7 linked regions of the Macaca fascicularis genome follow. The protein of the gene in region 3 interacts with the protein of the main gene of each other region in a pairwise test. Links are inferred from orthologs where the notes say so. Each region holds a gene or a part of one and is shown on either strand. Other genes may lie near its edges. The genes, in order: IL36RN, CDKN2C, REL, NGB, OTUB2, MAGOHB and EXOSC1.

What was found.
Region 1: the proteins of REL (region 3) and IL36RN interact in binary tests that used the Homo sapiens proteins (3 or more experiments, as listed by UniProt). The two-hybrid records come from large-scale screens. The link is inferred for Macaca fascicularis from reciprocal best matches to the Homo sapiens genes REL and IL36RN.
Region 2: the proteins of REL (region 3) and CDKN2C interact in binary tests that used the Homo sapiens proteins (3 or more experiments, as listed by UniProt). The two-hybrid records come from large-scale screens. The link is inferred for Macaca fascicularis from reciprocal best matches to the Homo sapiens genes REL and CDKN2C.
Region 4: the proteins of REL (region 3) and NGB interact in binary tests that used the Homo sapiens proteins (3 or more experiments, as listed by UniProt). The two-hybrid records come from large-scale screens. The link is inferred for Macaca fascicularis from reciprocal best matches to the Homo sapiens genes REL and NGB.
Region 5: the proteins of REL (region 3) and OTUB2 interact in binary tests that used the Homo sapiens proteins (3 or more experiments, as listed by UniProt). The two-hybrid records come from large-scale screens. The link is inferred for Macaca fascicularis from reciprocal best matches to the Homo sapiens genes REL and OTUB2.
Region 6: the proteins of REL (region 3) and MAGOHB interact in binary tests that used the Homo sapiens proteins (3 or more experiments, as listed by UniProt). The two-hybrid records come from large-scale screens. The link is inferred for Macaca fascicularis from reciprocal best matches to the Homo sapiens genes REL and MAGOHB.
Region 7: the proteins of REL (region 3) and EXOSC1 interact in binary tests that used the Homo sapiens proteins (3 or more experiments, as listed by UniProt). The two-hybrid records come from large-scale screens. The link is inferred for Macaca fascicularis from reciprocal best matches to the Homo sapiens genes REL and EXOSC1.

Annotation. Positions count from the first base shown.
Region 1 is NC_088387.1:20,067,840-20,072,371, forward strand, and holds the start of IL36RN (interleukin-36 receptor antagonist protein), read left to right. Parts: upstream 1-1,663; 5' UTR 1,664-1,707; intron 1,708-1,877; 5' UTR 1,878-1,904; coding exon 1,905-1,933; intron 1,934-3,313; coding exon 3,314-3,399; intron 3,400-4,532. UniProt on the Homo sapiens protein: Inhibits the activity of interleukin-36 (IL36A,IL36B and IL36G) by binding to receptor IL1RL2 and preventing its association with the coreceptor IL1RAP for signaling.
Region 2 is NC_088375.1:183,769,873-183,774,142, forward strand, and holds the start of CDKN2C (cyclin-dependent kinase 4 inhibitor C), read right to left. Parts: upstream 2,966-4,270; 5' UTR 1,864-2,965; intron 1,406-1,863; 5' UTR 1,395-1,405; coding exon 1,266-1,394; intron 1-1,265. UniProt on the Homo sapiens protein: Interacts strongly with CDK6, weakly with CDK4. Inhibits cell growth and proliferation with a correlated dependence on endogenous retinoblastoma protein RB.
Region 3 is NC_088387.1:61,082,649-61,087,190, forward strand, and holds the start of REL (proto-oncogene c-Rel), read right to left. Parts: upstream 2,851-4,542; 5' UTR 2,757-2,850; coding exon 2,666-2,756; intron 1-2,665. UniProt on the Homo sapiens protein: Proto-oncogene that may play a role in differentiation and lymphopoiesis.
Region 4 is NC_088381.1:145,214,706-145,218,924, reverse strand, and holds the start of NGB (neuroglobin), read left to right. Parts: upstream 1-1,368; 5' UTR 1,369-1,655; coding exon 1,656-1,744; intron 1,745-3,162; coding exon 3,163-3,274; intron 3,275-3,903; coding exon 3,904-4,023; intron 4,024-4,219. UniProt on the Homo sapiens protein: Monomeric globin with a bis-histidyl six-coordinate heme-iron atom through which it can bind dioxygen, carbon monoxide and nitric oxide.
Region 5 is NC_088381.1:162,059,217-162,062,646, forward strand, and holds part of OTUB2 (ubiquitin thioesterase OTUB2), read left to right. Parts: intron 1-1,082; coding exon 1,083-1,167; intron 1,168-1,710; coding exon 1,711-1,905; intron 1,906-2,840; coding exon 2,841-3,047; 3' UTR 3,048-3,430. UniProt on the Homo sapiens protein: Hydrolase that can remove conjugated ubiquitin from proteins in vitro and may therefore play an important regulatory role at the level of protein turnover by preventing degradation.
Region 6 is NC_088385.1:10,340,172-10,344,710, forward strand, and holds the start of MAGOHB (protein mago nashi homolog 2), read left to right. Parts: upstream 1-1,572; 5' UTR 1,573-1,634; coding exon 1,635-1,728; intron 1,729-4,539. UniProt on the Homo sapiens protein: Required for pre-mRNA splicing as component of the spliceosome. Plays a redundant role with MAGOH in the exon junction complex and in the nonsense-mediated decay (NMD) pathway.
Region 7 is NC_088383.1:106,390,005-106,393,749, reverse strand, and holds part of EXOSC1 (exosome complex component CSL4), read left to right. Parts: intron 1-2,031; coding exon 2,032-2,065; coding exon of another isoform or gene 2,066-2,072; intron 2,073-2,987; coding exon 2,988-3,038; intron 3,039-3,470; coding exon 3,471-3,555; intron 3,556-3,745. UniProt on the Homo sapiens protein: Non-catalytic component of the RNA exosome complex which has 3'->5' exoribonuclease activity and participates in a multitude of cellular RNA processing and degradation events.

The sequences.
Region 1 (4,532 bases), about 41 Mb from region 3:
TTTATTTATTTATTTATTTATTTATTTATTTATTGAGGCAGAGTCTTGCTCTGTCATCCAGGTTGGAGTACAGCGGCTTAATCTTGGCTCACTGCAACCTCCGCCTCCCGGGTTCAAGCAATTCTCATACCTCAGCCTCCTGAGTAGCTTGGATTACAAATGTGCACCACCACCCCGGCTAATTTTTACATTTTCAGTAGAGGTAGGGTTTCTCCATGTTGGCCAGGCTTGTCTCATTTCATCTTATTTCAACTGCCATTTCTATTTGGTCAATTTGTAATTTAATAATTTTGTACAAGGCAGTTTCTACATTAATTTTATTTTTTGAAAACTGTCTATCTTATTAGTGGCATTGTGAAAATCATAGATTATTTTCTGTCTTTTGAACAACTTGATATTTTATTTATTCTCAATCACCTGTAGGACCTCTTGGCTCATATGTCTGAATACCATTTCTTTAAAATGTATGCTTTAACAATAAATTATTAATAAATACTCATCCGTGTTATTCAAGATATAATTAAATTGTTTTTTGTGCACTGACTCTTACTTTTATTTCAGATCCATCACAGAGAGTGCATGGAGGTATTTAAACTGCATTAACTGTTTCACAATTACATATTATCTTATCAATTAGGTATTCAGGAAAGATCACTTACAGAATTATAGATGGCATGAGCTAGATTTTACTTCCTAAGGAAATAATCAGATACATGAGCAAAGATGTTAATACAAAGATGTTTGTCACAACATGATTTTCAATAGCAAAGAAAAGAGAAAAATGTATGAAAGACAAATAACAGTGGATAAATTTCAATAAATAATGTTACAGTGATACAATTAAATACTATACAGCTATTCAAGCATGTCATCATTCATATTTAATATGGAAAGATATTTTGCTATTTTGCTACATGAAAAAATGAGGTTGGAAAAAGTACAGGTTTTGTGAATCTGTTGTGTGAAAGCTGTCTATAGTTACACGTGTATGTGTGGGGAGGAAAAAGTGTTTCATTGGTTTTCTGATGATGCACTCAGAAAAGACAAGTATTCACATTTTTCATTGTGGCTGATCTGGATTTTCAGGTTTTTCTACAATGAACATGTAGGTTGAACATTCCCTGAGCAGGAGAGTCCCACCTCCAGTATCTCCTGTAGGCCTGGCAATGGCAGGCAGGAAAGACAGAGGAAGGAAGGAGGGAGAAGGGAAGGAGTGAAGGAAGGAGTGAAAAAGGTAAGGAAGAAAGGGAATGAGGGAGGAAGGGAGGAAATGGGGAGGGAAAGAAGGAAAGGAAGGGAAGAGGGAGAGAGGGAGTGAATGAAAGGTGGAGAGAAGGAAGAAAGGGAGAGAGGCAGGCAGGAAAGAAAGTCAAGCCTTCCTTGAGCTGCCATGGGCACTGACTCTTAGGGTCTGGAAGCTCCTGAGATGCAAAAGCCGAATGCTCACAAAGAGCTGGAAAGCCTCAAGGAAGTTCTTCAAAATTGCTGGAAGGAACTGTCTCCAGAAGCTTCCCTCCCCACGACAGATAATGAGGAGCAAGTGTGTCTGGTGACTTAGGGTGGTATGAAATCACGCTGGGAATCCTGCTCCTCCTCAGGTCCTGGCAGTTTCAGGGCCCCTCCCTAGGCCTTACTTAAAAGGCTGAGGCATCTTTGCAGGAACAAGCAGACTCCACAGTTCCTGCCGGGAGAAAGGAACATTCTGAGGTATGCTCTGGGGCGCTGGTGGGGCCGGAGCTGTCTCCTTATCCCAGACCCAGAATCTGCTCTGTGGAAGCTGTTCACATGCTGGGGGGCTTGGTGTGGCTTCTTGCTCCCCAGACCCCAGCCAACTCAGCCTCTCTCTCCATGATTTTCTGTTGTTTATTCCAAAATAGGGGAGTCTACACCCTGTGGAGCTCAAGATGGTCCTGAGTGGGGCGCTGTGCTTCCGGTGAGTGTATGAGGCCCTGGTTCGGAGGTCCTCTGGGGGAAGTGAGTTCTGGATAGACCCGTTGTCCAGTTCTGAGCAGGAGGGAGGAAGGGAGGGACAGCCATTGCAGCGGGGAAATTGTGACCAGCACCTCACTACTCTTAGAGAAGTTTTCCCAGCCTTTTTCAAATAGGGCCAGGACTGGGGCAAGCCATCTCACAAGGGTTCCCTGACGCTGAGGGGGACAAGTGAACCACCCAGTCTAGAGCTGCAGCCAAGTCTATCCAAGGTGGGAAAGGGAGCCAGGATCCCAGCTCAAAGCTCCGCCATTGACCCCCAGCACAGCGAATTAATGTCAGCTCACCCACTCTGTGCTCCTACTGCCCTGCTGCTCTTTGGGGATAAAAATAAAACAAAACCCATGACCATCAGTCAGTCTGTCCACCCACTGGCATGTACCAAGCCAGACACACTGCCGTGCTCTGGGCTTTACAACAAAGGATGAGAGTGGCCCTTTCTCTCAGTCTAATAAAGCACTTCCCACAATGTGTTCTATGGGACTCTATTAGAGGAGGCCCATAGAGGCATCCAGGAGATGCTTTACACAGTAGAGCTCTCTGATCAAGTAAATGCAGGGAATTCTCCTTTCTACATCCTCTCATAAGAGAACCACAGTACAGCTCAGCATATGAGTGACTCTGAGACTTTCTGAAGTAAGGCAACTTGTTGAATCATCTTTAGCCATGTATCGACCCAGTTTTTATACTGCCTCCTTTTCCCCCATATAACTTTTGGAGAAACCCACTTTAGGATACATCTTCCTCCTCGTAGGATGTCAGGAAATGAACTTAGTTCATAGATGAGAAACAACTTTGAAAAGTAAAATAAAAGAAATTTAAATTGAAAGAAACTCCTCACTTAGTAAGGAATATATGGCCAAATAGAAATACATGTATCTTGAAGAACTGAAGAATCAGGCTTTAATCTGGAAGAAGCTTGGGTGTTATCCAACCCATCATCTTAGCAATGGGGAGGCTCCGGCCCAGAGTGGGCGAGAGAGTTGTCTGCTGCGACTCAGCAGCACCGGAGGCAGAGCTGGGGCAAGAACCTAGGGCTCTGACTCACTGTGCAGCTTTTCTTCCAATAGGAGATGGGTTGGGGCAGAAAAGGTGGAATAGGGTGAAGAAGCAAACCACAGACCCCAGTGGGAGACTGTGGGGTCATCCTCATGGTAGGGCATGAGCCCAGCAGGGCTGGGAGAGAAGGCTGCGCTGTTACTTCTGGCACAGTAGGAAGAAAAAGAGACAAAATGCCTGAGATCAGGGAGTTCTCTGGACCGAAGGCATACTGGAGTGTACGCCCTCCCCCTAATGTAGTCCTCACCCCTTCCTGATGTTTCAGAATGAAGGACTCGGCATTGAAGGTTCTTTATCTGCATAATAACCAGCTTCTAGCTGGAGGGCTGCATGCAGGGAAGGTCATTAAAGGTTGGTGATGAAACATGACCCACTTTCCTTGGTCTCTATACACTCTGAAGGGAGGGGGCCTGAAGAGGGCTTAGAATAGTCATACAGGTGAGCACAGGCCTACAGAGCCCAGGCATTCGGGCAGCACAAACCAGCCTCTAAGCAAAGGCAAATAAAATACCACACCTCTCAGCAAAGGGAAGACACAGGCTCTGGGGCCACCTGAAGCTTCTATGCAGAAGTGGGAATGTTTTCCAAGAGGCTTGTCTTGTCATTCCCTTACAGGTGGATTTAGGTCAAGCATTGCATTCCCTGGGAGCCAGTACCAAGCAGAGAACTAAAGTAAACTCTCTACACCTTTTTTCCCATATGGGAGTCAGTTTCTGCCTCTCCACCCTGGGTCCCCTCTGCTCTCTGAAGATCCTCAGTCACTCAGAGTGGGAGGGACCCAGAGAACAGGTGGCATTGTTGGACCTCCTGCTTGCTCACTCTGCCCCACGCACTGCAACAGGTCCCTCTCTAAAATAGTTCACACCTGCCCACCTGGCGCACATTTGCTGAGCACAGATGCCAGGTAGATATTCAGCTAGGCCATATGTGTATGTGTGTGCTTACTGGTGTATGTACGTGTACATGGAGGCATATATGTGTAAGCATATGTGTGCATGAATGTATCTGTGCATAACCATGTATGTGTGAATGCAGGTATGAATGTGTGAGCATGTGTGTATATGTATATGTGTGCCTGCATGTATCTGTGTGTGTATTTGGGGTGTGCATATATGTGTCTGATGTATGTGGGTGGTGAGGGGATGTACAGAGAGGAATGAGACCCTCTTTTGCTCTCAGCAGCCTCACAGGGTGTAGAAAGTTGTCCAAACAACTCCAAAGGGGGGCTCATCAAGACAGGCTTCAGAAAAAGGCCTGAGACCCAACGGACCTTTTTAAAGGAGGGGGTTGCATCTATTTTGGGGTATAGAGGCTTGAAGATTTGACCCTGAACTAGAGGGTGGGGTGGAGGTGGTACAATGTGCTTCCATGCCTTGATGTCCGCTCTGGGCCAGTGGACAGGAGAGGCCATGTCATGACAGCTGCTGAGAGGCCTCCCTTCTGCCCAGCCTGGGGGCAGGCCGTCTCACAGCAGTCCTGTGCCC
Region 2 (4,270 bases), on a different chromosome or scaffold from region 3:
TCTGTTCGTCAAAAATCCTGTAAAATCTTATTATGAACATGGGTTAAGTAGCTCATTCTTTGTGAAGTTTATATAATCTTTTGAGTTTTCAAAAGGAAGCTTTTCAATATATTAAATTTGTTACTTTGCTATCATCACTAAACCTGTTCAAAACTACTAGGTAGAAAAAGAAAAAAAATCATTACTTAATGTAGCAGAAATAACAAGATAAATAATTTAGTATCTGTGCATAAACTTCCTTAATACTGAAATTTTTGCAAGGCCAGTGTATTCTGATTGAAAACGTACAGACTACATGGACTTTGTTTGTTACTAGTATATCTCCTGGCACTTAAATTTTTAATTCTTGTAACCGAAACAAAGCCCTCTAAAAACCCTCTCCCCAATGGGTTTTCAAAAACAGCTTCAAGTGTTGCATTTCCAAATAAGAATAGCTCATAAGAATATCATCAGAACTCTGATAAATTAACTATTTTAAACTATTTTGTCATTTTTCTGTTTCTAAGCCTTTCACCTAAATTACATGATAACATTCAGAAGAAGAAAAAAATTATCAGGTACAATACTTGGCAGCTGGACATGTGTCAATCGTTGCCTGTAAATCTAATTACTGAAAATTAGAGCACACCACGGCATAATCGTAGAGACAAAGACACTGCAGCTGAGCTCTGATTAGAAAATTCAACTTTTTATTCCTCCCGACTCCTGAATGAGTGGATGGTATTACATTAACTGTGAAATGTACATCCTGTCCCGGTGCCCAGGCCACCCATTCCAAACGAGGAAAAGTCGTTTGTCAAAACTTGGAGCATTTGAAGGAAAAACACCCTCACCAGTAGTCAAGAAAATTAACGTTAAAGTCTATTACTGGGGGCAAAGTACGTGAAACCACTAATAGCAGTGTATTTCAAATAATAATCATAATAATGTGTTTACAGAGCTGTCTTTAAAAACAAAACAAAACAAACAAACCTCGGCCCTACAATGACTACTCTAAAATCCCCACCGTCACAAAAAGATTCCAAAAACTAAGACCAAATCTGGACCCCACTTGATATCAAGGATGTTATTGGATTTGAGGAGTTTGTTCAAAGTACGTCATTTTGAGAAGTTGCATCCACTTAAAGATATAAAATATGGCAACCAACTAGGTTTAAAAACAGTGAAATTTTATGTCCCTGAAAGCTTAAAAGCTGTAAATCTAGAAAACCGGGTCACGTAGGCAACATTATTGACTTGTTTTCCCCACCTCTCTGAATACCAACCTGCAGCGCGGTCCTTCCAAATCCATTTTGTGCATTGACGTTTACATTATTTTGCAACAAACTAGTAAGTTGCTCTAGGTCCCCCCTGGCAGCTGCGGACGCCAACTCGTTCCCCCAAGGCTCGGCCATTCTTTAGGGTCCTGACGATCAGGAAAAGATGAATTAGTCGTTTTTCTTTTTTCCCTTTCCTTTGCTCCTAACCAGGCTGCATGATGGCATCGGAGACTGACAGAAGGACTGGGATGGTTAATCTGGAGTAGAGCTTGGTAGTAAATACTAGTAAGATCTGCCTGCCAAAAGCCCGCCCCTCGATTCACACGTGATTATTCAGCAAAACTGAGCCATTGGAGAGGGGCTCCTCGCCTCGCTTTTTTAGCTTAACCCCTATGAAGAATTCTGACGACTCCACAGAGACACACACAGACACACATACATTCCTGGGTAATGACTCCGGACGTCAGATGTAGGCAGAGCTGTCACGTACCTACGCTACAGATCTCTGTGAGGAGTGTGTGTGGACACTCAAGGGACTATAGATCGGGGCAGAAAATACCGCGGAAGGAAAGACATTCGGGGGGAAGAAAAGGCATTCACCCACCCTTGTTCACGGTGGTGACTTGAGCCGTGTGAGGCAGAACTGCAGGGGCAGGTCCTCCAGGGGGCTCGGTTTCCATCCGTCTCGCCGAAGGGACAGTCCTGGGTCCTCCGCTGCTGGGAGAGCGCCGCGGTGGCTGGATGCTGACGTGCTCCGGGGGGTTAAAAGATGATCGCCAAAGGCGAACGGGAGTAGCAGTTCCGTGGCCCTCAAGTTACAGGTCGTAACGACTGCCCAGTACTCTGGGCTTCTCCAGAAGAGCGTTTAGTCGCGTCCGGGCCAAGTCGTGGGCTAATGCCGCTCAGGAAAGCTCCGGAGCCCGCCCGCCAGGCAGCCGCAGCCCCGCCGAGCCTCAGAGGCCGTGGGAGCCGGGCTCGGCGCGCGTCTCCGGAGGCTGCCGGGCGTGCGGCGGGCCCCCGAGAAGCCCGTCATGCCGGCCCCGCCAGGTCCCGGGACTCCCGGCAGCCTGAGGAAGGAGGAGAGCGATGCGGGAAGCGTCTACGGGGCCCGGACTGCTGGGGCAGCTCGCGGCAGCATTGCGGCTGTACTGGGCAGACCCCCGGGAACTTCCCGCCTACGACCGAGCTCGTTCAGGCTTTCTGTTGTAGGTACTCATTGAGCTGCTGCCGCCGCTGTCCTTTCCTTCCTTTCCCGGTTTTGTGGGAGCCTCCGGAGATGGGGAGAGTCCTGGGAAACGCAGGCCAAGTTCTGAGTAGGGGGAGTCGCCACAGTTCCAGGGCGCAGCCAGACCCGCCGCCGTCTCGGCGAGCGCTCAGCAGCTTCGGCGCCCGGTGCCACTTCGCCACCTCTCGCGGTCCCTGGCCGCCTGTGCCCCTTTGCTGCGGACAGGGCAGCCGCCAGCCAGCTGTGCCCTGGAGCCGAGCCTGGCAGCACTGCTTCCTCCCTGGCCACACCGCTCCCAGTGACAGTTTCTTTTGTAGCTGATTCCCCCCTAGATCGCCGGTCCCTGCTCCTTTCACCCCTACGGGCACTTGCGTGTCGCCCCCTTTTTTACTTTTTTCCTTCACTCCCTCCCTTGCTGCTTTTTTCGCTGAAACAATTGCTGCTTCTGTTGCCTCTCAGAGAGGGTGCCGGTTTCTTCTCCCTTTTTTCCGACCTCATCAGCTTTTTTTGAAAAGAAAAAAATTGAGCGCTTTTTGAGTTGAAAAACCCGCCCCCATTTTAACGGCAGAGTTTTAAGGAGGCTCGGCGGAGTTGCAGCGCCGCGGAAGCGGGAAGGCCGGGCACCGCCCACGCCCCGCCCTCCGCCCTGCTGGCGCTCGCGCTCGCAGTCTAGCAGGCTCCGCCCTCCCGGCCCCGCGCACTCATTCCCGCCTCTAGCTCTCCACCTCCTCCCGTCAAGTCTCTTGCGCTGGCTCCCTCGCGCCGGCTCTCTCCCGCCGGCTAGGCGGCCTGTCCCCAGCTGGAGCGGGGTTCGGCCCCGCGAAGCCCGGCCTGCCCTTCTCCGGCGGGCGGGCTTGAGTCTGTGACGCGAACCCCCAGCTGCCCCAATTCCTACGGGCGCGAGGACAGGGGTTTGTTATTTAAGACGCTGTGGAGGGCGGCGGAGTCTTCGAGGCTCCGCAGCGCAGGCTGCGGGAAGGCGGAGAGCGAGCTGGCATAAAGGGAGTCGTTCTCCAGCGCTAGCGGGGCAGGTCGGCCAGCCTCTGTGCTCCCCCGCCAGGCTCGCAAAGTTCGGGCGGCCAGGCTTGCGGCTGCTGCTGCCTCCTCTAGGGCGCGCGCGCTCTGTAAACTCGGCCTCCTTCGCTGAGCCCTGGGCCTCGGCCTCGCACCTGCCAGATCCACGCCCGACGGCCGCGGTGGGCAGGGGTGGCCGCGAGGGTGGAGGGAAAAATCCGGACTGCCACTAAGCACAGTGCTCACAAAAAGCAAGTCTTGTATAGATTGAATTTTATGAAAACTTAAGACATGGCATAGATAAGAATGAACTCTGAAGCCTTAATCAAGGACTAGAAACTGCTAAATAGTCCTGTTATTAGAGAAAAAGGAGAAAAGCAATTAAATTTAAAGCAAAATTTAAAATAAGTCGTGTGAAGTGTTTTCTAACAAAGCTATTTCTTTGTTGCCGAAGTTCTCTCACTACTTAGAAATGGCTTGGTGTTTTGGGGGTGTGGGGTTGGGGAGGGTGTCTATATGTAAAGGAATGGTCTCTCTCCTAATCCTTTATTTAATCATCCGACACGAATTTCCAGTACTTTTAACTTCCTCTTTTAAAGTGAGATTAATTAACTATTGCTTTCTATATTTTTATACTCTTAAAAATATCCAACACGGTTGCATGATGCACCCAGTGGTCAAAATGAAACCAAGCAAAAAATGACAAGTCTAATTAGAACCGGACTTTGGCAAGCGGATCCTCGAGCAGTATCTGTACCCTTCTTGAAGTACA
Region 3 (4,542 bases):
TTTGTTGTACATAAATTATATGTCAATATGTCAATAAAGTTATTTAAAATATATGTAACTTTACTATTTTTTATTATCCAAATTGTGGGGGAAAAGGTAAATAGACACTCAACTGTACTTGCAAGTAGGGGAGTTAATAGAGGTGTGAAGATGTTTTCCATTAAAAAAAAAAAAAAGGGTCCCTTAATCAGTTTAGTGCCGACTAAGGCTTCTCCTGTTAGAATGCAAGCAATCCTGAGAAATGGTAACACAGTGGGCCTTATCAGAACAGTATGAAGAAGAGGCCTCTGGAATCCTACCCCATCTACTTCCTAACAGTAAGACCACAGAAAAGTTATTAAAATTAAAATCTCTTAGTTTCCGCCTCTGTAAAATAGGAATAATCATAATAGCACCTACCTCATTGGGTTGTTGTGAAGATTACAGATTATACGTGCTAAATTCTTACCAAGTGTCATATATACATATATGTTCAATAAATGGTGTCTATTATTTCAGATGCTTTCTTGATAACAATGATTTAGTGATACCATGGTGGCATCACAACTGTCACTCTAAAGGACCTTACAGAAGAGCAAGGCGAACAACACATATTATTAGACTACAGAAGGAAGGAAAGCACTAACAAAATTTTGTGGAAATAAGAGCGGAAGAGTCAGGAACGCCCAACTGTGTCAGTGGAAAAAGAGCGGTTAATGAAGCAAAAGAGTGGGGGAAATAAAGAGGAAAAAGTTAGGTATTCTAGGGAAAGGGGAACAATGTGTCCACAGAGGAGGGTTTATTTAAGAATCACCAATGTTTGTAAGTGGAATACACTTCCTCTCTTAGAAAGAGAACTAAAAGTCAGAGCACACTTGGCAATGTGGATTTCATTTTATGTGTGATGAAATCAATGAATAATTTGATGCAGGCAAATCACATGATCATATTTACGTTTTAGAGTAAAAATTTTAAGCGGGGCACAGTGGCTCACGCCTGTAATCCCAGCACTTTGGGAGGCCGAGGCGGGTAGATCACGAGGTCAGGAGATCGAGACCATCCTGGCTAACACGGTGAAACCCCGTCTCTACTAAACATATAAAAAAAATTAGCCGGGCGTGGTGGTGGACGCCTGTAGTCCCAGCTACTCAGGAGGCTGAGGCAGGAGAATGGCGTGAACCCGGGAGGCAGAGGTTGCAGTCAGCCGAGATCGGCCACTGCACTCCAGCCTGGGCAACAGAGCGAGACTCTGTCTCAAAAAAAAAAAAAAATTTTTGGTCACAGCAGACAGAAAAAAGAAAGCAACGTGATCAGTTTAGAGACCACTATAATAATGTGGGCAATGATGACAGTATGTCTGATATATGGCAGTGATAAAAGGAATGAAAGATTATTTAAAAGATAAAATTGACAGCACCTGGTGCCTGAACATTAGGGTTAAGAGAAATTAAAAAATCACTGATGGCTCAGAAATTAAAGAATCATTGATGGTTCCATGGCTTCTACTTTGGGTTACTGAATAAAGTATTACCATTACTTTCAATTTTATTCTGTATGGTGCAAACTCTCTGTGCTTGAATCTACTACCTATTTGTTTATTCAAAAGATGAAGAGTCAGAGAAAACTGACTTTAACCCATACATAATCCTTATTTCAGTTTTACTCAAAAACATAAGATATGCAGATGAGTATTTCACAATTTTATCCTTGCATATTTCAAATATTTCAAATTCATACTGCAATTTCAAATTTTTTTTTTTTTTTTTTTTTGAGACTTAGTCTCGCTCTGTCATCCAGGCTGGAGTGCAGTGGCGTGATATCGCCTCACTGCAAGCTCCACCTCCCATGTTCACGCCATTCTCCTGCCTCAGCCTCCCGAGTAGCTGGGACTACAGGCGCCCGCCACCACGCCAGCTATACCTGGCTAGTTTTTTGTATTTTTAGTAGAGACAGGGTTTCACCGTGGTCTCGATCTCCTGACCTCGTAATCCGCCCACTTCGGCCTCCCAAAGTGCTGGGATTACAGATGTGAGCCACTGCGCCTGGCCGCAATTTCAAATATTTCATACCCTTATATATCCTTGTAGGAGTATTTAAGAAAGAGTATATTTTCCTCTTAAAAACTGTTAAAATCAACATTATTTTTTAAGTGACATTTTAAATAATTTATGTGGCTGAAGTAAAAGCCAAATAAATCCCCGCCCACTACTTATTTAAAGGTGTCTTGGTGGGAAACTGATATAAAATGACATCGTTGGCCGGCACGGTGGCTCAAGCCTGTAATCCCAGCACTTTGGGAGGCCGAGACAGGCGGATCACGAGGTCAGGAGATCGAGACCATCCTGGCTAACACAGTGAAACCCCGTCTCTACTAAAAAAAATACAAAAAACTAGCCGGGCGAGGTGGTGGGCGCCTGTAGTCCCAGCTACTTGGGAGGCTGAGGCAGGAGAATGGCGTAAACCCGGGAGGCGGAGCTTGCAGTGACCTGAGATCCGGCCACTGCACTCCAGCCTGGGCAACAGAGCGAGACTCCATCTCAACAACAAAAAATAATAATAATAAAATAAAATAAAATGACATCGTTAATAAGTGTTTAACTTTGGGAGGGGAAGAGTATGAATTAAAATTCTAGGTTCATAGTGAGCATTCAAGTATTTAACTGAGGCTGGGCATGGTGGCTCATACCTGTAAACCCAGCACTTTGGGAGGCCAAGGTGGGTGGATCACTTGAGGTCGGGAGTTCCAGACCAGCCTGGTCAACGTGGTGAAACACCATCTCTACTAAAAATACAAAAAATTAGCTGGATGTGGTGGCAGGCACATGTAATCCCAGCTACTTAGGAGACTGAGGCAGTAGAATTGCTTGAATCCAAGAGGCAGAGGCTGCAGTGAGCCAAGATTGCACGATTGTACTCTAGCCTGGGTGACAGAGCGAGACTCCATCTCAAAAAAACCAAAACCAAAACCAAAAACAAAACAAAACTTCATTGGTTACAAGACACTTCTTTAGATTGTTTATTAAAATGTCTATTAAAAGAACAGAAAAGTAGTTGTTGAAAAGATTAAATAAAATATTTTTAAATAGTAAAAATTATATAAATATTGGTTATCATATAATATTGAGTATTTAAAATCCTTGGAATTTATTTTTCTTATTGCAGAAGCTCTTAATTGGTAAAAATTAACAAGCTGGGGGAATGTAGAGTATTACAACCAAGTAACAGAGTATATTGTAATGCTCTACATTCCCCCAGCTGGAAATAATCTCCCCTCCTTTAAACTACCATAGTATTCTGTTTATAGTAATTATTCCAAATAACTGTAATTTAGGGAAAATTACATCTTACCATCTTATTAAACTTACCATCTTATTTAATTAAAATTAAACTTACCATCTTATTTCTTCTTGAGATAAAGCTACTTGTTTTATTTCTTCAAGCTACTTGAAGGCAGAAATTGTGTTTTACTCATCAGTGCCTTGTATACAGATATTCATTAAACACCTATTGAATGAATGACTAAAATATCTTAAGGTATTTTGTTTATACAAGTTACTCAAACGTTAAATAATCATGTATGTGATTAGTCAGATTTTTTAATTAGATTCCACTACCAAGGGAAAAAAAAAAATAGTGCTTTGTAGGTACCAGGATTGCTACACCTCAGCATTTCCTCATACTCATTCATATTTCGATTTATCTGTGTTTATGATTTTTAAAAAACTTCCCAGCTATAAATCATTTATATAATGCATCAGTACAATGCACCAGTTATTTCCTTCCTCAGTACTGTGCTTTGCGCAGTGCCATTCTTCCTGAATATAAAATGTGCTGAAAAGTAGTCATCTATGGAGTGGAAGAGGGTAAAATATAAATCAGGAAATTGTAGGGAAAATAAGTACTCTTAATTAAGATAACCTCAAATCGCCACAGTTTTGAAAAGCACAAAAACGTCTCCAAAGTTGGCTCTAAACAAGTTGATTACTGTATTTTTCTTTAAGCAATACTATGCAAAGTTGGGACTGACCCCTATATTCTGAAGAGTATTTTAAAAGGCTAATATACATCAGAATAATATCTGAAATACAGTCAAAATGTTTGTAAGATATATTTATGTTTTTATTTGCACTTAGGCAAGAAAGAGTGCTATTTTAAAACATAGTGCCTATTTAATAAAGTATGAGTTTTTAAGATAAAAAATTACATTGCAATAAATGTTTAAATGGATCATAAATTATCAGAAATAGACACATTAACTAACATCTTATTGCTAGAATGAGCAACCAGCATCAAGTATATAGAACAAAAAGTTAATTATTGTAATTACAACACTTTTGAAAGACCCTTTTATATACATTTCTCATTTGATCCTCTTAACTTTAATCTCCATTTGAAAAACAATAGAAATTATTATCCCAACTTAAAGATGATAAAACTAAAGTTGAAAATTATATGGTTATAAGAAAAATGAATTATGAATGGTACGCTAATATGGCACTGCCAAATTTAAAAAACAAGCATAAAAGCAACTGGAGGTAATAACTGATACAGCACATAACCTGC
Region 4 (4,219 bases), on a different chromosome or scaffold from region 3:
CCCTTCAACCCCCATCCCTTTGTGCTCTTGCTTGGAGACCTCCTGGACCTTAGGACACCAGCATTTCCAGGCTGCCTTACAGCCTTGCTCTCCTGCTCCAGCCCAGAGATTTGTGAGGAAATGGGAAATAGAATAGGGGATACCACAAACTCCTGAGTCCTTGGAAGAGGGAGAACAGCTACGTGGTTTCCTGGGGCATGGCTGGGAGCAGGAAAGAAGAGTTCTGCTGAGGCACTCAGTTCTGATTCAGGGCCAGAAGGAGACATTTTCAAGACCAGGACTCACCACTCCATGTCTAACACAGGGCTGGGCATGGAGCCCCAGCTGTTCATAACCGGGGACTCGGGAATACCCACCTTCTATCCATGGACCCAAAGGAGGTGGACTAAAAGGCCCCAGAGGCCTCGCCACCCAACCCCCTTGCTGCACAACTGAGGAAACAGGCCCAGAGAGGTGTGGACAGACAGAGGAGATAGGCTTGGAGACCCCTGAGGGAATAATGAGAGAGAAATAAAGGCGAAATGGGCTTGCCCTCCCTAACCTGGGTCACCAGCACTGGGCTGGGGTCTGAAGAACTTCTGCTTTGAAACAGAAAAGTTTAGTTCTAATTGACAGTTGGCCAACTGCACACCCTGAGTGAGGAGCATGGATTCTATCATCTGAACTTCTACTGAAAAATTAAACAGTACTTCCATTAAAAAAAAAAAAAAAAAGATTAAAAATCATGGAAGTGGGGAGGGCCCAGGGAGGGGAGAGGTGAAAAATTAAAATTAAAATTAAATCATGGAATGGTAGAATGTTGGAGCTGAACTCCCTCAAGATTCCACCCTGGCCAAGCAGAGCTAGAATTAAGTTTCCACCCTGGCCAAGCAGAGCTGGGATTAGAACTTGATCTCAGGGATTTCTAAAGATGGAGTCTCAGAAAAACCCAGGCCTGGCTGGGAATGGCTGTGGTCTTGGCCCTGTCCCTACGGCTGAAAGCCCTGGTGGTCCCCAACGTGTGCTGGTGCCCTAGTCAGACCGAGAACTAGGCCCCTAGGCCGCCTCCGAGGCCTGACCTGCAGGCCAGGTGGGTGGCAAACTCAAATGCCTCCAGCAATGCGTGAGTTGAGGGGCCTGTGGAGAGGGGGCGCACGCAGCGCCTACCTGAGGCGACCAAATTCAACACAGTGCCCTCGGGGCTCGGGAGGAGAAACTGAGGCCTGGAGAGCCTCAGCGATGTCTGTTACGTTCTGCAGGCCGGGCCTTTCGCAGGCCACCAGGTCGTCGCTGGCCAGAGCGGCTGGCGGAGGGAGCGCGCGCCTTGCTGGCCTGGAGGGGGCGGGGGCCGCGGCGGCTTTAAAGCGCCCAGCCCGGGCGTCGCGGGGCGGGGCGGCTCTCGCGGCTGCGGGGCGCCGGGCGCAGCGGCCGAGCGGGGTCCCCGGAAGCACAGCTGGGGTGCCTCCACCTACGGCTGTGGCCGTGCGCCTCTTCTCTCCCGCGCCAGGAAAGGAGCGGCTGCGGCCCCCGCCGGGCGGAGGCACGGGGGGCGTACGGGGGGCGTACGGGGGGCGGAGGGGCCCGTCGCGGAGGAGATGGCGCGGCATGTGAGGTGACGGCGCCCGAGCCCCGAGGGTCCCAGCCCCGCGCCCCGCGCCCCGCGTCCCCGGGACAGCATGGAGCGCCCAGAGCCCGAGCTGATCCGGCAGAGCTGGCGGGCGGTGAGCCGCAGCCCGCTGGAGCACGGCACCGTCCTGTTCGCCAGGTGAGGGCGGCCCAAGCGCCCGGGGGTGCGGGTGGAGGCTGCCTCGGCGGGAAAGGGGTCACGCGGCAGGACCGGCCCCGAAGGAGGGAAAACTGGCCGCTGCCGGGGCTCTGGGGCGGCTGCCAGATGTGCGCCAGAGGAGCGGGGCGCGGCGACGGATGGCACAGCCCCTCTGCCTCTCTCTCAACCGTGGGCGCCTGTTGCCAACCAGCTCCGCACACCCGGCTCCCAGCGGGGCTCACCGGGCCGGGCGGGGTCTCCTCCCGCGGATCTCCACACATCTGGGCGGGTGGACCTCCGTCCCCGCGCGGGGCCTCCACCCCGCCTTGTGCCTCCTGCGTGTGACTGCAGGGGTGCACCCCGCTGCAGGTATCAGGGTACTGGGGTGCCCCGAGGGCCGGGGTGCCCCGAGGGCCGGGGAGGGGAGGTGTGCGGGGCGAGCTCCTGCGCCCATGTGTGAGCTGTCTGGCTCCAGGTGTGTGGATTCCTGACAATCAACAAGACAAACCTTTCCGAGGAAAGAGCCAGAGAGCCGCCGGGGAAGGGGTGACAGATGCGGGAGCCTCACCGCAGGGGAGAAGGGTTGGGGGGTGCACAGGCGGGTGCACAGGCCCCGGGGGGAAGGGAAGGCCAGTCTCCAACCTCAGCTCGCCGTCTCGGTAACCCCTCCGCCATCAACAACCTAGCACTGCTTTCCTCACCGTGGTGTTCCCAATCCTTGGCACCCTCGGGCAGCCCAGAACTTCTGCCCAGGTTTCCGCAAAACCGCCCCCAATACAAAAGGGGAAAAAATTCAGTTACCCGGTGAGACTTCCCAAATGCCAAGGAGAGCCTCTGCTTCTGCCTCCAGACTCCCCCAGCTCACTTTTTTCTCGGGCACCCGCTGTGGCTCCACTACATCCAAGCTGTGTGACTTTAGACGAGTTCTAGCCTCGCCGGGCTTCTGTTTTCTCCTCTGTAAAACTGGGGTAACAGTTGTACCCACTGCTTAGGATGGTGAGGAATACAGTTAAAAGTTAAGCACACGGAAAGTACTCAGCACGGGGAGGGGGGTGGGGGTGGGGGGGAGAGAGAGAGAGCGAGCGAGCGCTCTCCACACAATGTAATTCCAGGTTTCCTGTTTGGGGACATCTTCCTGTCCCAAATCACACCCTTCAGCTATTCATCGAGGGGCTCCTGCGTGCCAGAGGCCCTGGGACACATTTGCCCTTTCTAGGATGCTGCCCAGAGCCAGTAGGTGTGAGGAGGAGGGCACTACCAAAGCTGGCTAGGGAGCAGTGCCAGGTGGGAGAGTCTGCTGTGGTTTGCAGCTGAGACCCGGCTCGGCACCCCCGCTCTCTGACTGCAGGACAGCCAGGCTTGCTGGGGCTTGCAGGGGCTCACACCTCAGGGCTAACACCTGGGCCTCACCCCCACAGACTGTTTGCCCTGGAGCCTGACCTGCTGCCCCTCTTCCAGTACAACTGCCGCCAGTTCTCCAGCCCAGAGGACTGTCTCTCCTCACCTGAGTTCCTGGACCACATCAGGAAGGTGAGAGGGAGGCAGAGCTTCTGTGACCTCTGGGATCCAGCAAAGCACCTCCCTGGTGGAGAATGGGGAAAATGACTTTCTGCCCCAGGCCTAGTTTTACTCCCCTCCTGTTCCCCCAAGCAGGGTATCAGCTCCTTTCCCTCTGGACTGGATTGGTCTGGGACATCAAAATCAGCCTCTTTCCCTACCCTGTGTTCAGAGAGCTGGTCCCAGCCTCTGTCATTGCCTTTGTCCCCTGGCTCCCATAGGTTGTGTTAGCACAGATCCTCGTCATTGGGAACCATCTGCCTATGAAAACCAGGCTGAGATTTTCTTAGAATCTCATGATTCTCAAAGGGCCTCAGTTTCTCCTTGTCCCGGCAGACAACACTCTCCAGTAGGCGTGTTTAGAGACGTGAATTCCTCAGAGGAGAGAGGCTTCCTTCATGGGTGTAACATTAGTAGTTTGGCCACCATGTATCATGTGCCCCCTATATGTAGTAGACACAGGCTGCCTTTGACCCCTGATCCTGGAAACTGAGGGTCCTGCTGGCCTCTCTTGCTTTGGGACCCTCATGCCTTGGGCTGTGATTGTGAGAAGATGTGGCTGCTTTAGCCTCTCTGTTTCACTGCTGCCTTGGCCTTGGCAGGTGATGCTCGTGATTGATGCTGCGGTGACCAATGTGGAAGACCTGTCCTCACTGGAGGAGTACCTTGCCAGCCTGGGCAGGAAGCACCGGGCAGTGGGTGTGAAGCTCAGCTCCTTCTCGGTGGGTAAAGGAGCTCTGACTCTCTCCAGAGCTCCTGGCCTGGGGCCACTTCTCTCTCCCAGACTTCCCCTAGCCACCTGTTCTGTCTCCCATTCCCATATCCTTAGATAACCAGGGCTGTGGGCCTGCATCTGTTACCTGCTGTGTGGCCCTGACATGGGCTTGACCTCTCTGAGCTTCCAAGTTCTCTTTTCTG
Region 5 (3,430 bases), on a different chromosome or scaffold from region 3:
ACCCCTGCAGTCAAGGCGTCATCACCATCCACACCTGTGCCAAAGGGGAGCCTATGGCCAAAAGCCACAGGGAGACTTGACAGGGCTGGAGGGGACTGTGGCTAGAAGTCAGCACAGGATCCATCCCTCCAATCCAGGCACCTCACTCCGCAATCAGGACAATCTAGTCCTGGCCCAGGCAGGACTCTTAGATATGCCGGGACCAGCCAGGGGCAAGCGGCGTCTAGGCAAACACTCCTACTTCTGAGTTAGGAGACTGGCTTCCCGTCCACACCCACCACCTTCTCCCTCCTCACCGCCCCCTGTCCTCCTACAAGGCACTAGGCTTTTCCGGAGCACAGCAACTTCTGAGGTGGCCCAGGCCTCTGTATTCCCTTGTGAAACCTGCCGCCTCTTGGGTCCTGTGAGAGCCTCGTCTCCGTTCCTAGGGAAAGTAAGGGGCTGGAGAACTAGGTGTGGCTTTAGTGTTCTGCGCCTGCCAGCTAGTCACCCAGGGCCGCTCACCTGGTCCTTGTGGGAGGCAGCCCTTCCTCCATACCTCATTGCTGCCACTAAACTTGGAGTGTCCTGGAGCCAGGGCCAGGCCCAGGCCCAGGCCTGGGTTTCTTGCCATGCTCCCTGAGGGTACCAGGACAGGTCCCAGAAAGGGGCTGTGCCATGAGGGGGCCTGCAGTGGGTGCAGAGAGGAACAACCCAGCATGCACAGAGCAAAGGCCTGTGGAGCAGGTCCCCAAGGGTGACTTGGTGCTGGCAGATGCTTAACAGCCGGCTTTGGGCGTGCGGGAGGCCTGGTGTGTGTTGTCAGTCGATTGCTGTGGTGTCAGTATTCAATATTACCATGAGTGAGTCAAGCTGCCCTCATGAGGTCACTGAGTAGGGAGTTGGAAAAGATGCAAAATCACACACGCCCTTGTCATATCGTCTTTCTACCATGCATACACACACAATGCAGCTCAGTCACCAGGGCCCGGGGACTAGAGATGAGGTTGGTGGGCGCAGTGGGTTGAGAGGGGGATGCACAGTTGACAATCACAGCACACTCGCTGTGTTTCCCTGTAAACACTCAGTCTACCCCCCTGTAGGTTCAAAGAACGTGTACTGCAGACCCCAAATGACCTTCTGGCTGCTGGCTTTGAGGAGCACAAGTTCAGAAACTTCTTCAATGCTGTGAGTTCACCTAGTCCCTCCTTCCACACTGGCAGAGCAGACAGGAGCGGGCACTGGTTGGAGCCCCGCACAGCCCACAGCTCTGCTTCTCCGGGCTGGGGAAGGACAGAGGGTTGCTTCCTGCTTGTGGGGGTGTGTGGGCACAGGGAGCCCAGGGCCCTGCCCTCCCTTTGGGAGGAGGCACGTCCTCCACCCTATTCCATCTCCACCTTGTGCCTCCCTATCCAATTAGTGAAGGGGTGGGATCGAGGACTCTGACGCTTGCCACTCTGAGTGTGCATGTGAGAATGCAAACCCAGGTAGTCATGGCAGGGAGACCGAACTGCCGCTCCCTAGACGTGCCTCTGGCCTAGTGTACAAAGTCTTGCTAACCCTGGGTTACTTAGCTTAGGCAGAATCTCAGACTGATTTTCTACTTCAACCTGAGAATCTACAAATGAAAATGCACGCGAGGGCTTCACGCAGAGGGAGGGAGCGGAGGGAGAATGCAGAGGGAGGGCTGGGGCTCGCTTGGCCTCCCTAGCTGAGGGCCGGGCGGCGCAGTTTTACAGTGTGGTGGAACTGGTAGAGAAAGACGGCTCAGTGTCCAGCCTGCTGAAGGTGTTCAACGACCAGAGTGCCTCAGACCACATCGTGCAGTTCCTGCGCCTGCTCACATCGGCCTTCATCAGAAACCGAGCAGACTTCTTCCGGCACTTCATTGATGAGGAGATGGACATCAAAGACTTCTGCACTCATGTAGGTGTTGGGGTCTCAGCCCCAGCCCCGGGTTCTGCTCCTGTGGCCCTCTCCCACAGACTGCAGCACCCATCTCTAGCCAAGGGACTTGGGTGTCACGACTGCCCTTGCAATTCAAACAGAGCTAGGTCAGCAAGCTGCAGACAGGTCTCACCTGAGCTGCCTGAGCTGTGTGGCCTGAAGCAAGGCACTTCCCTCCCTGGAGATTTCCCATCTGAAAAATAAGGGATTTGGACTGGCCTGTTTACAAAACCGCAGAGTCACAGTCCAAGAGTTACATTTGCTTGACGTGTTTATGATGCGTGGTATTTACCCGAAAGAATTGCCAATATTTGAAAATTAGGCACTTTTCATAGGAATATTTGGATTTCTGTTGGCAAATCAGAAGATCCAGCCCCCAGGCCCTTGCTCGTGCAGGACAGTATCAGCAGGCACTAAGCAGCAGCTGCCCTCTCTATGTGGGACGCACGCCTGCTTGCCACCGCCTCTGCCTCTTCCATCGTCTCCGCAGCATCCGGACTGGCACCCTCACTCACCAGCCTGGCCTCTGCAAACACTTAAGCTTGAAAGGCACCCCTGGATGTCAGGGTGCCTTTTATCTCTAAGATTCTTCGATGCCCAACCTGAAAAATTTCTGCCCCCTTTCCAGAGCCGTCTAAAGTAGTAGCCTGCTCTCAGGTGTAACAACAAGGTCTAGAATGGAAAAGATCCAGGTTCGATTCTTGCCATTGTAGCGATTTCTAGCTGTGCTGCCTCTCAGTGAGGCTGTTTCCTGTGTGACATGAGAATGTCCATACCCAACTCATGGGAAGTTGTGAAGATGATGTCCCAGCACAGAGGCTGTGACCATGACCCTGAAAGCCAGAGTTGAACTCACTTATCCTCTGCCAGGCCTCCCTCCTAAGCTGGTTTCTTTTCATTTTGGCTCCCTGCAGGAAGTGGAGCCCATGGCCACAGAGTGTGACCACATCCAGATCACGGCATTGTCCCAGGCCCTGAGCATCGCCCTGCAGGTGGAGTACGTGGACGAGATGGATACCGCCCTGAACCACCACGTGTTCCCTGAGGCCGCCACCCCTTCCGTTTACCTGCTCTATAAAACATCCCACTACAACATCCTTTATGCAGCCGATAAACATTGATTAATTTTAGGCCATGCAGTGGAACCTGTCACCTAATGGGACTGCATTCTGAATGGAACATTCCGGCTCTTCAATTTTTTAAGCAATTTAGACTGTAGCAAGAAAATGTGCAGCCTTTTGGGCAAAGCCCCTGGAACGAGGCCTACCCATTATGGACTGTGGTAACTTGGTGGTATTTTTAGTATTTATTTTAATGGAGGATCAAATGCTTTCTAACTGGGCCCCTGACAGTTCCCTGTGAGGCTGGGTGGGTTACCTGCCCTCTCTGGAATTGTTTCTTCAACTGGAGGAGGGTCCTGCCTATGTTGACATTGCATTGTAGAAAAATGGGGCCTCTGGTTTCTCTTTACCAGGGGCAGTGCCTCTCTGCGGGGGAGGAAAAG
Region 6 (4,539 bases), on a different chromosome or scaffold from region 3:
GTGCGGTGGGATCATCTCAGCTCACTGCAACCTCTGCCTCCCGGGTTCAAGCGATTCTCCTGCCTCAGCCTCCCGTGCAACTGGGACTACAGGCACACGCCACCACGCCCAGCTAAGTTTTTGGTATTTATAGTAGAGACGGGGTTTCACCATGTTGGCCAGAATGGCACATATATTCTTAATTATAGCAATTGATCCATTGTGCCAATATTTGCCTTACAAGTTTGCTTTCTTTTCTAGACTACCAGTGCAAATGCCTTTTTATTTCTAGTTTCAAACTGTCACATAGGAAATGTTTGTTAAAACTAACGTTTTATAAAATTTAAAGCTTATTTTACATATCTCATTTGATCTCTCAAGAATTCTGTGAGCTTGGCAATGTAGATTGCTGTATATGCCTTAGGCTGATGAATAAACAGGCTTAGAGAGTCACTTGCCCGAGGTTAGGTAGCTGTAAGTGTTGGGATTGAATCCCAGGTCTTCTCACCACCACTTTCTACAAAAATCACTGAAGGTTGTCAACCAGCAGAGAGGATTACTCTGTGTGTTGATAACAAAAGGGTGATCAATAATATTTAAAAAGCAGACTTTGTGTAAAAGTCTTTCCCTTACCTTAAAAACTATGCCACAATGGAGCATTCTTTCATTCCTCCAATTTAATTATATCTGGCGAGAAACAGTAATGGGCTAAACCATTGTTGTATCTTAAGTCAAATTGCCAAAACTCCACAGGCTACTAAAAGTTAACCCTTACTGAATGAATTAAGAACCATAGAAGTTCTGCTGTTAAAAAACAGCACGGTGACAGTCAGGGTTTTTCAGGCGTAGGGGGTGTGTGTTTTAAGACTTTAAGCCAGTTTTGTCCCACTGAAATTACCGTCAGTGATTTTTAGTAGAAAGTGGTGGTGAGAAGACCTGGGATTCAATCCCAACACTTACAGCTACCTAACCTCGGGCTAGTGACTATCTCTAAGCCTGTTTGTTCTTCAGCCTAAGGCATATACAGCAATCTACATTGCCAAGCTCACAGAATTCTTGAGAGATCAAATGAGATCTCTTAAGTTCTTTGCTGTGATGGATTCCTTTGACTTTGTCTCTATTATTATAGGCTTATAGGTCCGGGGCAACTACCAATCGTTATTCAAAGGGGAAAGCACCCTGTTCGAAATCAAGTAAGAAAAATGGTTTATATTCCCGGTCTGCCATCTCTATTCTAAGCTTTATCTTTATTTAGCTCCCAGTTAAAGGGGGAATAGAGCCACACCCACCTCACAAACGCCCCGAGGACTGGGAGACCAGAAAAGTAAAAGCCACTTGCAAACCTAATTTAGCTCTAAGTCGATAAAAAATACTATCATATGCTCACATTTCTAATATTTGCTAATATAATGTGATCTTTATTTTGAAAATAATGTGCCTCCAATCCTAGTAAAGAGAAAGTCACGGCATGCGACTCTCCCTTCAGCACCAACTGGCCTCTCACGCGAGACTCGGCTTTCACGCTTTAGTCCAGGGCTGCAAGGCAGGCGGAAGAGAAGCGCCTGTGGTGACGCACTTATTCCGCGCGATGACGTGACTACAAGGCGCCGGGGGACACGTTGGCTGGGTTTTCGGCGGGCTTCCCGGGGACAAAAATGGCTATGGCTAGCGATTTCTACCTGCGCTACTACGTAGGGCACAAGGGCAAGTTTGGGCACGAGTTTCTGGAGTTCGAATTTCGGCCGGACGGTGAGAAGAGGCCCACGGCACGCGGTGCTGGGAAAGGGGAGCGAGACCGAGAGGCCGTGGAGGAGGCGAGGGGAGGCCGGGTGGTGTGGAGGGTACAGGGGGCGGAGGCCACTGCTTCCCTCGAAGGAAATAGGAGCTTAAGAATAGAGGAGGCCTAAGTTGGTTTTATAAATGAAAGAGAACTAATTGCAATAAATTAAAGCTAATCCTGTCGCAAACTGAAAAGTCGAACTTACAGTAATCAGAATTCTGTAACTGCACCAGAAGGGACTCTGTAGATTGTTGACCTGGATTAAAAATGCTAGCACTTTTTTGAAAACACCCCCATCAGCGGGTGGTCCAATGGATGAATAAAATCTTGTGGTGACCAGTACCTTTTCTTCATTCAGGCTGTGTGTGTTCTTTGAAGGGGAGGAGCCCGACGTGTTAACAAATGAGAATAATAATATGTTTTAGGTGTCTACGTATAATTGTTCACCACAGGACGCATGAAGAGTACCAAAAAAGAGGGGAGATGTAAAGTTCCACAGGAGGGAGTCAGGAAAATCTTCCTAGAGGAAGACACTCTTGAGATGAGTCTCGAAATGAGAGACTTGGCCTTTGAGAGAAAAAAACAGACTTCCAGAGCAGTGAGAGCAGAGGACGAGGTGAAACTGCTACCCCAGTAGCGTGCAACAATTTGTTTTCTGACAGCGCTATTAGAGAATGTTACATTGGTCCTGCCTACCTGCAACAAGAAAGTTCATTTGGATATATATGTTTTGGTTTTTTTTAAATGCACGTTTTTTGCTGGGCAACAAGCAAATACAAAATTTGAAGGTACACTAATGAGTAAGACAAATTTAACTCAAAGAGATTTGTCTTGGTGGGGACACAGACATTTAACTATAAAGCAGTAGGTATATTAATAAGCAGGCTTTGGACAATGTTCTGTGAGAGCAAGAATAAAAAATTAGAGGAGAAACGTATATTAGGAAAGGAGAAGAGTATCAAGCATTTCAGGCAGAACTCAGGTGAACTACAGTCCTGCAATTATTACTTTGAAACAGAGTCTCACTCTGTCACTCAGATCTGAGTGCAGTGGCACGATCTCAGCTCACTGCAACCTCCGCCTCCCAAGCTCAAGTGATCCCTCACCTCAGCCTCCCGAGGTGCTGGAAATACAGGCCAGTGCCACCTCGCCCATCTCCTTTGTTGTTGTTGTTGTTGTTGTTGTAGAGATGGGTTTCCGCATGTTGCCCAGGCTGTCCTCAAACCCCTAAGGTCAAGAGATTCACCAGCCTCAGCCGCCCGAAGTCCTGGGATTACACGCATGAGCCACCGTGCCAGCCCTGCAATTATTTAGAAACCTTAATCACTGTATTCGACCTTACTCTCCCCATAAATTCAGCTAAATTTACCTGAATTCATCTATTCTTTATGTAGTATTATTTTCAGTTCCTCTGCCTGTGAACACCGTCAAGCTTGTCTCTATTACTTTTAGCAGGTCACATAAATTAAGCACCTGAATATTATCAGGGAAGTTTTATGCTAGAACAGTGGTTCTAATCAATGTATCTGCCACTGCACTGTTACACATACTTCTTCTATTGGTAATATTGAGTCTCCCGAAGACCTGCCTGCCTGCCTGCCTGCCTGCCTGCCTGCCTGCCTGCCTTCCTTCCTTCCTTCCTTCCTTCCTTCCTTCCTTCCTTCCTTCCTTCCTTCCTTCCTTCCTTCCTTCCTTCCTTCCTTCCTTCCTTCCTTCCTTCCTTCCTTCCTCTCTCTCTCTCTCTCTCTCTTTCTTTCTTTCTTTCTTTCTTTCTTTCTTTCTTTCTTTCTTTCTTTCTTTCTTTCTTTCTTTCTTTCTTTCTTTCTTTCTTTCTTTCTTTCTTTTTCTTTTTCTTTTCTTTTTTTCTTTCTTTCTTTTTTTTGAGACAGAGTGTTGCTCTGTCACCCAGGCTGCAGTGCATCTCAGCTCACTGCAACCTCTGCCTCCTGGATTGAAGCGGTTCTCCTGCCTCAGCCTCCCGAGTAGCTGGGATTGGAGGCATGTGCCACCATGCCCGGCTACTTTTTCATATTTTTAGTAGAGATGGGGTTTCTCCATGTTGGCCAGACTGGTCTCGAACTGCTAACCTCAGGTAGTCCACCTGTCTCGGCCTCCCGAAGTGCTGGGATTACAGGCGTGAGCCACTACGCCTGGCGCCAAGCCATCAAAGACTGGCATTTCTATCATTTTAGAGTAACTGCTGCACCTTATAGCTGTGTCTGGGCAACTGACTAGCCATAAGGGGAAGCATACATCAGATAATACACAAATCATGATGGATTAAAATTAAATATAAACTAGCTAACAAACTCATCAACTTCGATCCAGAAGCATCGTTTGTATCCTTCTTAGTCATAATTCTAAAATGTCTACAGTATAATTGTATGCATACATTTGAAGGAAAAAAAGGAACATTTTTTTGTAGTGGAGAAAGCCTGAGTATTAAAAGAAAGTAGATCTAGGTCTGAATCTCCCATGTTTAAGTTACTTAACTTTGTTTTCTCTCTTATGAATAGGTGAGAGAATAAAACCTGATTTTTAGGATTGTTTTACAGATTAGATTAAATTCTCTGTGTAACGCACTTAACACCAATACATACATATAACAAACTTGAATGTTAGTGCCTTTTGCAGATTCTCTTTCTAGTTCATGATGTAGCTTAAGAAAATAGGCTGTAAAAATGACCCTATATCTATATGTTGTAGGCATAGACTATTTAAATATTTGGCTATCTTCAACTTCAGCAAACTTAACCAGCAAATATTTATTGTCTACATGT
Region 7 (3,745 bases), on a different chromosome or scaffold from region 3:
TGTGCTTTGATTCTCCCCTAGTAGTATCCAAAAATATGTGGATGAGCTAGGACAAAAGGAAAATATTAACAAGAGAGGGTTTAAAAGTAAAGCAAAGGCTGGGCACAGTGGTTCATGCCTGTAATCCTAGCACTTTGGGAAGCTGAAGCGGATGGATCTCTTGAGATCAGGAGTTTGAGACCAGCCTAGCCAACATGGTGAAACCCCGTCTCTGTAAAAAATACAAAAATTAGCCGGGCACAGTGGCTCACACCTGTAATCCTAGCACTTTGGGAGGCCAAGGTGGGCAGATCACAAAGTCAGGAGTTTGAGACCAGCCTGGCCAATATGGTGAAACCACGTCTCTACTAAAAATACAAAAACTAGCCGGACATGGTGGCGTGTGCCTGTAATCCCAGCTACTCAGGAGGCTGAACCCGGGAGGCAGAGGTTGCAGTGAGCCAAGATCGCGCCACTGCACTCCGGCACAGGGTACACAGCGAGACTCCATCTCTTAAAAAAAAAAAAAAAAAAAAAAAATTAGCTGGGCATGGTGGTGCATACCTGTTGTCCCAGCTACTTGTGGAGCTAAAGTGGGAAGATCACTTGAGCCTAGGAGGCGGAGGTTGCAGTGAGCTGAGATTGTACCACTGCACTCCAGCCTGGGTGACAAAGTGAGACCCTGTCTCAAAAAACAAATAAATAAATGAAAAGTAAAGCAAAAAGAATTGAGTGAAGCTGAAGTTTATCAGTGTCAGGATGACTCAAACCAAAGTGGAAGGCATTCTAGGAAGCACTTTTTAAAAATTTTAATATAGATTGAACTCAGAGGTTATAAAACATTGAAAAGATTTGTGAGTGAGACGGTGATTTCCTGTGGCTTCCTTGAGAAAGGACAAACATTTCTTGCCAGGCAGATAATCTAACTTTTGAGGCCCTTTCCAGCCTCAGGATTTGATGTGGTTCTGTAGTGCAGCAATCTCCAAGCTTCTTGGCACCAGGGACCAGTTTCTTGGAAGACAGTTTTTCCACAGACTGTGGTGGGAGTGGTTGCAGAATGATTCAAGTGCATTACATTTATGCTGTACTTTATTTCTATTATTATTACACTGTAATATATAATGAAATAATTATACAGCTCACCATAATGTAGAATCAGCGGGAACCCTGAGTTTCTTTCCCTGCAATTCGATGGTCCCATCTGGGGGTGATGGGAGACAGTGACAGATCGTCAAGCATTAGATTCTCATAATGAGTGGGCAACCTAGCTCCCTCATGTGCACAGTTCACAATAGGGTTCATACTTCTATGAGAATCTAATGCCCACTTTGATCTGACAGGGGGCGGAGCTCAGGCAGTAATGTATGTGATTGGGGAGCAGCTGTAAATACAGATGAAGCTTGCCTGCCACTCACTTCCTTCTGTGCAGCCCGGTTCCTAACAGGCCACCAGAACTTGGGGACCCTTGCTATAGTGCTTCTGTTCAAGCCCTGAGGCAACAAAACTCCTTATCGTTTCTTGCCAAATCTGATCTGCCTTTATCTAATCAGGTATTGATACTGCTGCTCCGTGTGGTCTGAGGATGCTTCTCCACCCTGCTCCTCTGAGTAGCAGCTGGGTCCCAATTAAGACTTGTTCTGTCTGTTCTTGTAGCTCTTTATTTACTAGGAATCTACAGAATAATTCTTTCTCACAGGCTGGGCAAGGTGACTCATGCCTGTAATCCCAGCACTTTGGGAAGCTGAGGCGGGTGGATCACCTGAGGCCAGGAGTTCAAGACCAGCCTGGCCAATGTGGTGAAACCCCATCTCCACTAAAAATACAAAAACTAGCCGGGCGTGGCAGCACATGCCTGTAATTCCAGCTGCTTGAGAGGCTGAGGCACGAAAAATGCCTGAAGCCAGGAGGCGGAGGTTGCAGTGAGCCGAGATCGTGCCACTGTACTCCAGCCTGGGTGACAGAGGGAGACTCTGTCTTAAAAAAAAAAAAAAAAAAAAAAAAAAAATTCTTTCTCACAGATAATTAATCTTTCTGTTAATTCTTTTTTTATAGCAAGGAAGATGTCCGAGCAACTGAAAAAGACAAGGTTGTTGGTTGGTTCTCTTTTTTTAACGGCTTTACAAATCTCAATCCCTTAAAAGTATTATCTCAGACCAGGCATGGTTGCACACACCTGTAATCCCAGTACTTCGGGAGGCTGAGGCGGGAGGATCACTTGAGGCCAGGACTTCAAGACCAGCCCTGGCAACACAGTGAGACCCTGTCTCTACAAAAATTTTAAAAATTAAAAATTAGCGGGCATGGTGGCTCATGCTTGTAGTCATAGCTGCTTGAGAGGATGTGGCTGGAGGATTGCTTGAGCCCAGGAGTTTGAGGTTATGTGGTGGCACAAACCTGTAGTCCTAGCTACTTGGGAGGCTGAGGCAGGAGGATCCCTTGGTCCAGCAGTCCAAGGCTGCAGTGAGCTACCATTGCATCACTGCACTCCAGCCTGGGTGACACAGTGGGATTCCACCCTTAACAAAAAAGGGCTGGGTGCGGTGGCACACACCTGTAATCCCAGCTTTTTGGAAGGCCAAGGCAGGCAGATCACGAGCTCAGGAGTTCAAGACCAGTCTGACCAACATGGTGAAACCCCATCTCTACTAAAAATACAAAAACTAGCCAGCGTCATGCTGCGCGCCTGTAATCCCAGCTACTCAGGAGGCTAAGGCAGGAGAATCGCTTGAACCTGGGAGGTGGAGGTTGCAGTGAGCCAAGATCGTACCACTGCACTCCAGCCTGGGCAACAGAGCGAGACTCCATCTCAAAAAAAAAAAAAACAACAAACAACTTTTCATTTGTATGATAATACTATAGAAGCAATTAAAAGTTGTTGACTTGACATGAGTAATGATGATTTCTACCCTCCAGGATTAGAAAGTAGACTGGCTTTACCAGAAGGGTTCACAGTTTCATATAGACCCAGTCTAGAACTTTCACTTACCATTCCTGTTCTTTCTTTACAGGTTGAAATTTATAAGAGTTTCCGCCCAGGTGACATTGTCTTGGCCAAAGTGGTATCCTTTATTCCCAGCAGACTTCTGGGTTTTTGTCAAAAGAAGAGATGGAGGCTGGGCGTGGTGGCTCATGCCTGTAATCCCAGCACTTTGGGAGGCCAAGGCGGGTGGATCACCTGAGGTCAGGAGTTCGAGACCAGCCTGGCCCAACATGGTGAAACCCTGTCTCTACTGAAAATACAAAAATTAGCTGGACGTGGTGGCGCATGGCTGTAATCTCAGCTACTCGGGAAACTGAGGCAGGAGAACCGCTGGAACGCTGGAGGCACAGGTTGCTGTGAGCTGAGATCGCGCCACTGCTCTCCAGCCTGGGTAACAGAGCAAGACTCCGTCTCAAAAAAACAAAACAGAGAAAGTAGAAAAACAACTCAGCTGACTAAGGTTGGGGGAAGACTTCTAACTCCTCATTTTCCTTCAGTGTTATGTGACTAGATCTCCCTAGGTGATGCACAGTCCAACTACCTGCTAACCACTGCCGAGAACGAGCTGGGAGTAGTGGTAGCCCACAGTGAGTCAGGTGAGATGGCCTTGCTTCCACATCCTTACTTTCCCTGGAGCTATGGTTTGGGATTAATCCATTGTTTTTCCTGGTTTCCCTTATCTGGGAAGCAGTATGGCTGTAGATATTTCCTTCTGAGATTAGAATGATTTTTTTTTTTCTTCTTTGCTTGGTGCCGGTGGTGGTGGTGGTTTGAGACTGGGTCTCA